Danio rerio: one gene and its partners. The protein of the gene in region 2 interacts with the protein of the main gene of each other region in a pairwise test. Links are inferred from orthologs where the notes say so. Each region holds a gene or a part of one and is shown on either strand. Other genes may lie near its edges. The genes, in order: mrm3a, fhl3a and hipk1b.

Region 1 (2,458 bases), on a different chromosome or scaffold from region 2:
TAAAAATTCTAAATTCTAAAACCCTTTCTGGTGTCACTTTGCTAAAAATTTAAGAGTTTAAAAGAGTTTGAAATAGTCTTTAAAAGAGTTCATTTCATAAAGAAGTCTCCAGGAATCCTTAAAAGCAGGACAGTCCAGTAAAATGTGTTTTATAGTAAGGGGTTTTCACCTTGGAGCAAAAAACCATGGGTCATTCTTGTATGTCCAATACAACATCTGTTAAAAACCACTTAATCAAATCAAGTCTTAAAATGTCTTTAAATTTCAGGTTATATTTCACATCATTTATTATTTTCTAATGCTTCCCATTCCTCATGCCACTTGTTTAAAAGGGATTCTAATGGCAGTCTGTCATTGCTTCCTGGAAAAATACATTCCTCTGTAAAGAGTCTTTGTGTAATCTTTGACTCTGAGCTTAAATTTGATGGGCAAATTATTGCGGTTGTCGAAAATAGTTTTTTCTATTTTAGATATATTGCCAAGCTGAAGTCTGTCCTCTCTTTCAGTGACTTGGAGAAGGTTGTTCATGCTTTCATCTCTTCTCGTCTGGATTATTGCAATGCATTGTATGTGAGTGTGAGCCAGGCCTCTCTCTCAAAACTGCAGCTGGTCCAGAACGCAGCTGCCAGGCTCTTAACAGACACACAAAAAACGAGAACACATTACACCTGTACTGGTTTCTCTACACTGGCTGCCAATCCAGTTTAGCATTCAGTACAAAGTACTGCTGTGTGTTTTTAAATCTCTCCATGGGCTGGCCCCTGAGTATGTTTCTGAGCTAATTAATATACACCAACCTGTGAGATCTCTTCGCTCTAAGGATCATCTTTATTTGACAGTCCCACGATCACGCTTAAAATGTCGAGGTGATAGAGCTTTTCCAGTAGCAGCTCCAAGACTCTCCACTCTCCTAAAGAACAGCTCCAACTTTTGAGTCTTTTCAGAGATCACTGAAAATACTTATTTTCTTTAGCTTTTAATCATGTGATGTGGGTTTATGTGTTTTGGTTTTGTGTATATTTGCATGTGTTTTATGTACAGCACTTTGGTACCCATTGCAATTATATCCTGCTGCAGGCCCGCAGAACCACACACGTTTTAGGCACACACAATCTGGCACACACAATCTAGGCAAACCATATATGGTTACGACAGAAGTAAATGTTAGTAATGTCTTCTTGGACATAGTCATCGATATATTTTGATATGTATAGTCAATAAATATTGTGAACAATAAACAATAGTGTTTACTTTATTTTACAAATTTTGCGATCGAGACGGGCGAATGGGGAACAGTGTTTCCGATCGCCATTCATTATAATAGACTGAACAGTTTTCTATCAGTCATTATTGTCTGACAGAGTCAATATAGCAGATACTCGTTTGCTGGCCTTGCTGAACGATCTTGCCCAAATTGAACAAGTTTAATTTATATAATGGATTCATTTATAATGAAGGAAATAATAGCAAGTTAATATAGGCAATAATACCTTTTATATGTAATCAAAATCTTTTTACAAAAATGTATAACACGATATTAATATTTTACTCAAGCAATTAAATAGTTTGTATTTGCTTAATTTTCTAATAACTTTAATTAATGATTTCCCACATTAAATACTGTAGCCTAGTTATTTATATTAAGCAATACATTGTTTTTAAACCAAAATTTTGCAATAGAAACAAATTAACTATTCATAAATAATTAAAAAGTAATAATAAGTATACATATATATATATATATATATATATATATATATATATATATATATATATATATATATATATATATATATATATATATATATATATTGCATTTATATATTTATTTTATATAACTGATTTTGTCATTGATCTGCAATTATAATCAAGTCATGTTTATAGAAAGGTAAGTAATAAACATTTATACACAAGTATTCATGTGTATAAAGCATCTGTTTTGTGAGAAATGCTACTCTTATGATATGTGAACAACCCGTACAGCTTTACTGGGACATTTCCTTGAGTAAAAATGAAGTCATCTGAAACTTTCTGTTGTACACCACACCCACCAAAAGGGTACCCTTTTGGGAGTGGAAACGCAAGCTTGACAAAGGTGACCCGTACCGACCTGTATCGTACTATACCTCTCAGTGGAAACGGGCAATTAGGCAAGCTGTTTCAACCTCCTGCAACAAACTAGATTTTGGCCAGACTTTGTTCCAAATGATGTCAAACTGGTTTGTTTTTCAATAAAAACGTATGTAAAACACACCTTTGGATAGAAGAACACGGTCACAGCCTGCTGCTGCTGCACAGCGTAGAGTAGTTCCCAGATTTCCAGCGTCTCGTACATTGTCACATATCAGAAACAAAGGGACAGACTGAAGACGAGCGTCCTTTGGAAATGTCAGGCGGGAGGCATCAGGCTTTGAGAAAATAGCTGTGAATTTAAGAGAAACAATGATATTTTTTTGTT
Region 2 (3,667 bases):
TACCCAAAACTCACCATCTATCATGCATTCATTGCCGTTCTAACCACTTTGCTTGGCACAGAGTGTTTGGAACAATTCTAAATGGGATGTTCGGTCACTTTAACAGAACACCAAACCTTTGACCTTTGGGTGTTTCTGAAGGAATCTGTTTGAGTTCTTTTACAGGCTGCAAACACAGACTACATCCACCCATTAATGACTACTACCAGCTTAATAACAGTTCTGACTGGCCGGCAAAAATAAAGAAGGCGATAACTAGTAGGCAGATCAGATATTTTTATCTGTGCATCGAGGCCTGTACATTAATGGAGTGTTGATACTGGATTGTGCGGTGGATTTGAACTCAGCGTTGCATAGGAAGCATCAAGTCTTGTTTGTCCAGTTGTAAACCAGCAAGTGTATGTTGAGGGTTGTGATGATTGTGCGAGGGGTAGATTGCTGGTTTGCTGTTATGTTAAATAGCAGTATCAGCATGGGCGTTACTTGAAATGGGTAGTTCTTGGGTGAGGGCACAGCAGTGTATAATAGTGTGTGTGTGTGCATGTGTAAAGGAAGGTAAGGCATGTGCATGAGGGTTGTATTCTATAGGGTGCTGTTGCAGTTGCGACAGAGGATCTCATCTTGCTCGGGGAAGAAGCCTGCTCCCACCAGAGAGACAGAGCATCGAGAGCAGGTGAAGCACGGCTGGTGCCATTGCCGGTCCTCAAACGAGATGTACTTTCCCCCGCCAAAACCTAAAGAGAGATTTAAACCGGGTTAGTTCTCAGGAATCAAGATGCATGATAGGAACTAACAGTGACATAAAGATTTTTGTATCACAACTTATTTGTCAACATTCCATCTCCATTAATGAAACAAACTAAATGCAATTGGCTCTGATAACACTATACACCAGCTGCTGATGCTGTGTAATGATGTTGATGTCTGTCAGCTTAGAACTCATGGTTCCTAGTGAGGGTGCAAAAGAAACCAGGAATATTTGCCCTAGATGGAACATGTAGTTCTTGAGGGACACCATGGTGACTAGTTCCAGTTCCTGTAACTGTTTTCCTGGTTGCATTTTAACTAGGAACTTAAAATTGATGTAAGCTAGCTGACTGCAACTTCAAGTGTGGCACTAACATAAATTCAAGAACTGGAGGTTGGAGGATCAGCCATGATCAGAGGTGTGTTTTTGTTGTCTGTTGTGTATACTGTACTTAAGAAACTTTTACTGAAGTGGAAAATGATTTAGCCCCAGCAAAGGGCATTTAGATAACTAAAACCATGTAAAGTTCCTGCAAACTCACAAAGTCTGTATCCATATAGATATCTGATAAATGGAAATGTGTGCAAATTACAGATGAGATGCAAGTTCATATCTGTATTTCACATATAAAATAAATATTAAAATATTGCAAAAATGGCTATTTATTCACGTTTTTAACCGTTGATTTGTTGTTGTTTTAACAGGCATGACAAATATGTACATGTATGTTAAAATATGGCGGTCTCCAAAATTAAACCAAGAATAGACTTGTGCTGAGTCCACCAGTCTCATTAGTTAAGGTTAATATTAAATTGAACTAATTAATAAATGACTATAAAAACTATATGTTTATTAGACTGTTGCACTATTTTTGTTGTCAATAGGCCTATTGTGTGCACAACGTTTATATATTTATAACCACCTCTAAGGAGTCTGGGGGTTGCGAGTCACTGGCATTGTTATTTTAGGGGTCGAAGGCTGAAAAGTTTGGGAACTCCTGCTTTAAATGACGCCGGTGCATCTCTGATGTATTGTCTACTCGCCATAACTGGGTGTAATACAGCTAAAGCAGTAAACTGCTGCAGTTTAATTAATTCAGATCTTTTGTATATTTAGATAAATCAATAATGAGAAAATTAAGGCCCTTAAAAGCTATTAAAAAGTCTTTATGATGTTTCTACAAGGTCTTACATTTTGTTTAAAAGTTGACCAAAGTGTTTGACTCCAATAAAAAAAGCAAAAATATATTTATTTTTTTCCTAATATTAAAAATCAGTGTGCTCGATCCACACAATTGGTTCAAGCTTCTCCGTCAGGGGGATTTCACATAGTTTGCGACAAACGCGAGAAGGTGATTTGACGCTCTCCACATGTACACAACCTCTACATGTACACGTCACACAACCATAGAGCGAAACAGATGGGAAAATGTAAGTTTGCGTACTCCTGGTTGGAGAAAGATGAGTTTAAACAGTGGCTGAAGCCTGTTGCTGAAAACAATCGCGTAATTTATTCTTTCAAGCTTTGATTCTTCTGAGCTTATCTGAGTTCTGTTGCATGGGTGTCCTTCATTGATTTATTTAACTACAGCTGTTGAATGTTAAGTTCAACATTTAATATTAAAGTATAATAACATTCCAATTATATTATTTTTATTAATATTACATATATTTTATGTGAAATGTGCAACCCAAAAATGAACTTGTATGTCATATATTTAATTTGCAAATATTTCCATATACAATATCAGATTTCTATATGGGATACTTCTGCAATTAGTTCCTTCTAGGAATTATGAAAACATTTCTCCTGTGCAAAAGCTTCTTACAGTACCAGAACTATGTGAAAACCCCCTTTTGTATTTTTTTTTTTCAAGTGTTGTGGGAGCACTAGTCCACCATCAGTTTTTGAAACAAAGTGACACTACTGCATCATTTACCTGTAATTGGTTTATTGCAGGCTTCACACTTCTTAGCATACAGATTTCCGAAGCATTTGATGCAGTATGGGCTGTCATCACGAGAGGTGAAGTGCTGGCCAGCTAGCTGGACTTTACAGCTTGTGCACACAAAGCACTCCTTATGCCACGGCTCATCCCTATAGGTCACACCACCTTTAGCCAAGGCCTGAAGTGGAGAAGATGGAAAAGTAACATTTAAACTTTCATTAAATTGATTAGCATTAAAAAAACAACACCTTTAAATTCACTTTAATGGACTACCACTTGTACTTTATACGTTTAGACAAAAATGTAGCTTTTATTGAGCAGCCACAAAGAATTTGAGACATCAGTTTTGAGACTTTGAGACAATCTTGAGACTTAAAATATCTTTTCATACATTCTAGATTCGTTTTCTAATTAGTTTTGGGTAAAATCAAAACTAACTGTTTCCAGATTTAAAAAAAAATCTCTTGTGTTTCACATGCAAATAGCAAGAGATAAATGATTGTTTTTTTAAAACAATAGAGCCAAGAGTCCAAACAGATGGTGGCCTGTCAAGACAGGATGTGAAATTGACAGGCAGAGTTAATCAGTGACCAGCACGGCGTCTGATATTCAACAGGAAGAAGAAATGAGGTCAGAATTTGGACTTTTTTTGTGGAGGAATGAGTGCATGAACTGATTCGAAACACATGGTTACTTATTTTAAAGCTGATGAAATCTCTCTCACCACTGACCTGTTTACATCGAGTACAGCGTGGTGCGAACTTGTTCTCATAGCAGGGTACGCAATAGTGGTCATCTTTATCTGGGATGAAGGACTTGGAGCCTATTGGCTGTTGACAGCTGTTGCAAATGAAACAGCCCTCATGCCATGTGGAGCCGGCATACTCGAGCTTCCTGGTTCCTGAGAAACAGAGAGAGAGAGAGAAAAAAAGGAAGGAAGCCTTTAAAACAAACTATTTCCTTGTTTTCGA
Region 3 (3,466 bases), on a different chromosome or scaffold from region 2:
ATCCCATGTTAAAAGCATTGATAATGCAAAACAAAACAAAAAACATGTTTAAGTCTGCCATATTAGCAACATTGGTGAGTTATATTCAAGACAAAATTACAAAAATACATTTCTTAAACATTATACAAATTTTTTTTTTTGTATAAAATTGTTTTGACGCTTTGTTTTTCGAAGCTTTGTTTCTTTTATCACTAGTATTTATTGGATAAAGATCAGTTTCGGACACAGCTCAGGTCTTCTGTGCTCACCTGACTGAGGTTTAGTGGTTGAGATCTGCTGGGCTCCTGTTGGTGCTCACTGATGCTTCCTCCTGAGCTGCTCTGATGTCTTGTAGCTGCAGCTCTCTTCGGCTTCATGTAGTAATTCTGGGGAAGACCTAAACACACAACCAATGTTTTTTTTTACTACATATTTCTCAAACAAACAAACAAACAAACAAAAAACACCCCCCCCCCCCCCCTCCAAAAAAAAAAAAAAAAAAAAAAAAAAAAAAAAAAAAAAAAAAAAAACGGAACAAAACGAAAAAAATAAATAAATAAGAATGCAAATAAAATACAAACGAAAAAGAAACAAAGTAAAAACGAAAACTGAACTAAAACAAAACCAATTCAAAATGAAAAATAAATTACAAACAAAAATTAAAAACAATAAAATAAAAACAAAATCAAAAAATAATAAAATAAACAAAATACAAATATGAAAAATAAATAAAAACAAACAAACAAAAATGGAAAAACAAACTAAACGGGAAAAAAAAAACTTAAAACAAATAATGAAAAACAAATACTAACAAAAACAAAAGGCAATGCTGCCCATCACAACACACGAAATAAAAAGAATAAAATAAAATAACTGACCAAGAAATGGAGTACTTGCCTAGAGCCGGTGGGATTTTGGCCGATATGGAGCTCTCCACAGGCTGTGTTTTGACAGTCGGCGCCACCACTGCCAGAGATTTGGCCAGTCGTGAGGACTGGAGCCCGATGTGACCGTTCTGGGGTTTGGGGGTTAAAGGACTGGCGGTGGAGGAGTCTGAATCGTGAACGGTCAGACAGCTGATCACATTCGTCCTATGGCTGGGGCCGCAGCTACAAAAGAGAAGAGAAAAGTGTTAGAGATAAAATAATGAATATTCACAAGGATAAAATCATAAAACAGGAAAAACAAAATACCAATATGTTTCCTGCAGGATTCAAACACATGCTTACTTCCAAAATCTGTATTTTTAGTAGTAAAATTATTTCAAGTAAATAAATAAAAAAAAAAACAAGCTACATCCACTACTCTCTCATTTAATATTCTGTTTTTTTCTAGGAACTCCAAAAAAAAAAAAAAAAACATGTTAGCAGGAAGCGTGGTCACCTGGCGGGGTGAAACTTGCGCTCATCCTCGTCTTCAGAGTCGCTGTGTATGGTGATGACGCTGACTGCAGGACTCGGGGTGTCGGAGATGATGATTGGCTGAGTCAGAAGAGCGCTGTAAGACTGAGAGGCCACCAGAGCACTGCTGATGAGACACACACACACAAGGTAAGTACAAAAACATTTAACAGCCTCAAGGAGAAAATAAAATAATAACTCAATCCCACAAAACACCAATAGGAATAAAAGTTTTGCACATAAAAAAAAATAAAAATAAATTATATATATATATATTAGGGATGCTCACTTCGGTTAATTTTGCCAACCAACAACCACCGCTCATTAACCAAGTATTAACAGTTACCTGGTCAGATTAATATTAAATTATTATTTACTTAAAAACTTAAAAAAAAAATTGACGAGTCCATTTTGAGTGACACATTAAATATTGCATTTTAAAATGCTGATTTATTTTAACATGTGAACAACAGCATACAGAACACCATAACAATAGCGGAATACATCGGAACAACAGCATAGAAAAACAGAATAAACTAAATAAAAAGAATCAAATAAATAGCCCACCCTTAGATAACATATATACATATATATATATACATATATATATATATATATATATATATATATATACATACATACATATATATATATATATACATACATACATACATACATACATACATACATATATATATATATATATATATATATATATATATATATATATATATATATATATATATAAATATATATATATAAATATATATATATAAATATAAATATATATATATATATGCAATTAAAGAGCATATTTATTATACAAGACTAACTTCAAAATATTTATTTAATTATTACTTATTTATTGCGAAATTAGCAACTTATGGCTATTTCATGGCAAAATGGATATATATAAAAATTCGTATTACAATAAAAAAAGTTACTTAGAAATAAATAAAATTCACACAAAAATATATTCAAAGTTAAATATGATTTTTCTGTTCAACTTTTGATAAATAATTTAAGATTCATCCTGGTGGTACCCGTTTTAAAATATCCATCAAACTACTCTTCTTATAAAAATGTTGTCTTATGGTATTCAAATTTTCACATTCCAACAAAATATGCTTCATAGTAAGAGCAGCTTGGCAGTAATTACATTTAGGTGGTGCTTCGTTATTCAGTAAATATAAATGAGTCAACCTAGAATGTCCAATTCGACATCTAGTATAGACAGTTTGATCATGCCTGGTCTCAAAATTATAATTTGCAAAGTGTGTTTCAATTATTTTCTGATTAATTTAATGTAATTTATTATTTATGCAGTCGTCCCATTCCATTTGCCATGTTTCAATTATAAACAAATTAATTGTCTAATTTGAAATGAAATGTATGCTCATCTCTAATATTAAATCCAAACGGCAAGAATCAAGCACTTGTGTTTGATCTTTTTACACACAATAAAAAAACCCTGACTGAACAAATGCAGATTGAAATGTGCAATTAAACATATTAAAGGCAGCTTTGAAATAAGTGAATGGGCCAGTACCTGCTGCTGGTGTCGCAGCAGATGCGGCTCCTCTTGTTCTGCGAGCGAGTAGCTGTAGTCGCTCCTCGATTGAGGGAATGAGTGGGGTTGATGCCGCTGAGGATATGTGGGTTCTGCTGGACGACACCATTGTGCTGACCACTCTGAGATGCCCTGCATCAAGAAGAAGAAATGTTAAGAGTTTTTTGGTGCACAAAATTGTTCTTGGTGCTCTGAATGATTACAGTTAGATTACTGAAGTCTTAGAGAACGTCTTTGGACCAGGACTTTGAACATTGTGAGATGGTTTCAGTATATGGAGAATGAGAAAGCTCTCAGAATTAGGCAAGTTATTAGGCAATTAAGTTATTAAGTGTGTAATATTTTAATGTATATCCATTTTGCCATAAAATAGCCATAAGTTGCAAATGTGGCAATAAATAAATAAACATTTAATTTAGTCTTGTATAATAAAAATGCTCTTTAATTGCATTAAAACAATATAGCAGATTCCTTACTAAAATTATATAGCTCTATTATCATTTTGTTTTTCTTTTTT

What was found.
Region 1: the proteins of fhl3a (region 2) and mrm3a interact in binary tests that used the Homo sapiens proteins (3 or more experiments, as listed by UniProt). The two-hybrid records come from large-scale screens. The link is inferred for Danio rerio from reciprocal best matches to the Homo sapiens genes FHL3 and MRM3.
Region 3: the proteins of fhl3a (region 2) and hipk1b interact in binary tests that used the Homo sapiens proteins (3 or more experiments, as listed by UniProt). The two-hybrid records come from large-scale screens. The link is inferred for Danio rerio from reciprocal best matches to the Homo sapiens genes FHL3 and HIPK1.

What each region holds. Positions count from the first base shown.
Region 1 is NC_133190.1:18,619,471-18,621,928, reverse strand, and holds part of mrm3a (rRNA methyltransferase 3A, mitochondrial), read right to left. Parts: intron 2,423-2,458; coding exon 2,255-2,422; intron 1-2,254. UniProt on the Homo sapiens protein: S-adenosyl-L-methionine-dependent 2'-O-ribose methyltransferase that catalyzes the formation of 2'-O-methylguanosine at position 1370 (Gm1370) in the 16S mitochondrial large subunit ribosomal RNA (mtLSU rRNA), a conserved modification in the peptidyl transferase domain of the mtLSU rRNA.
Region 2 is NC_133191.1:36,956,100-36,959,766, reverse strand, and holds part of fhl3a (four and a half LIM domains protein 3), read right to left. Parts: intron 3,598-3,667; coding exon 3,428-3,597; intron 2,875-3,427; coding exon 2,688-2,874; intron 735-2,687; coding exon 583-734; 3' UTR 1-582. UniProt on the Homo sapiens protein: Recruited by SOX15 to FOXK1 promoters where it acts as a transcriptional coactivator of FOXK1.
Region 3 is NC_133186.1:2,720,255-2,723,720, reverse strand, and holds part of hipk1b (homeodomain-interacting protein kinase 1), read right to left. Parts: intron 3,082-3,466; coding exon 2,929-3,081; intron 1,507-2,928; coding exon 1,363-1,506; intron 1,089-1,362; coding exon 877-1,088; intron 377-876; coding exon 249-376; intron 1-248.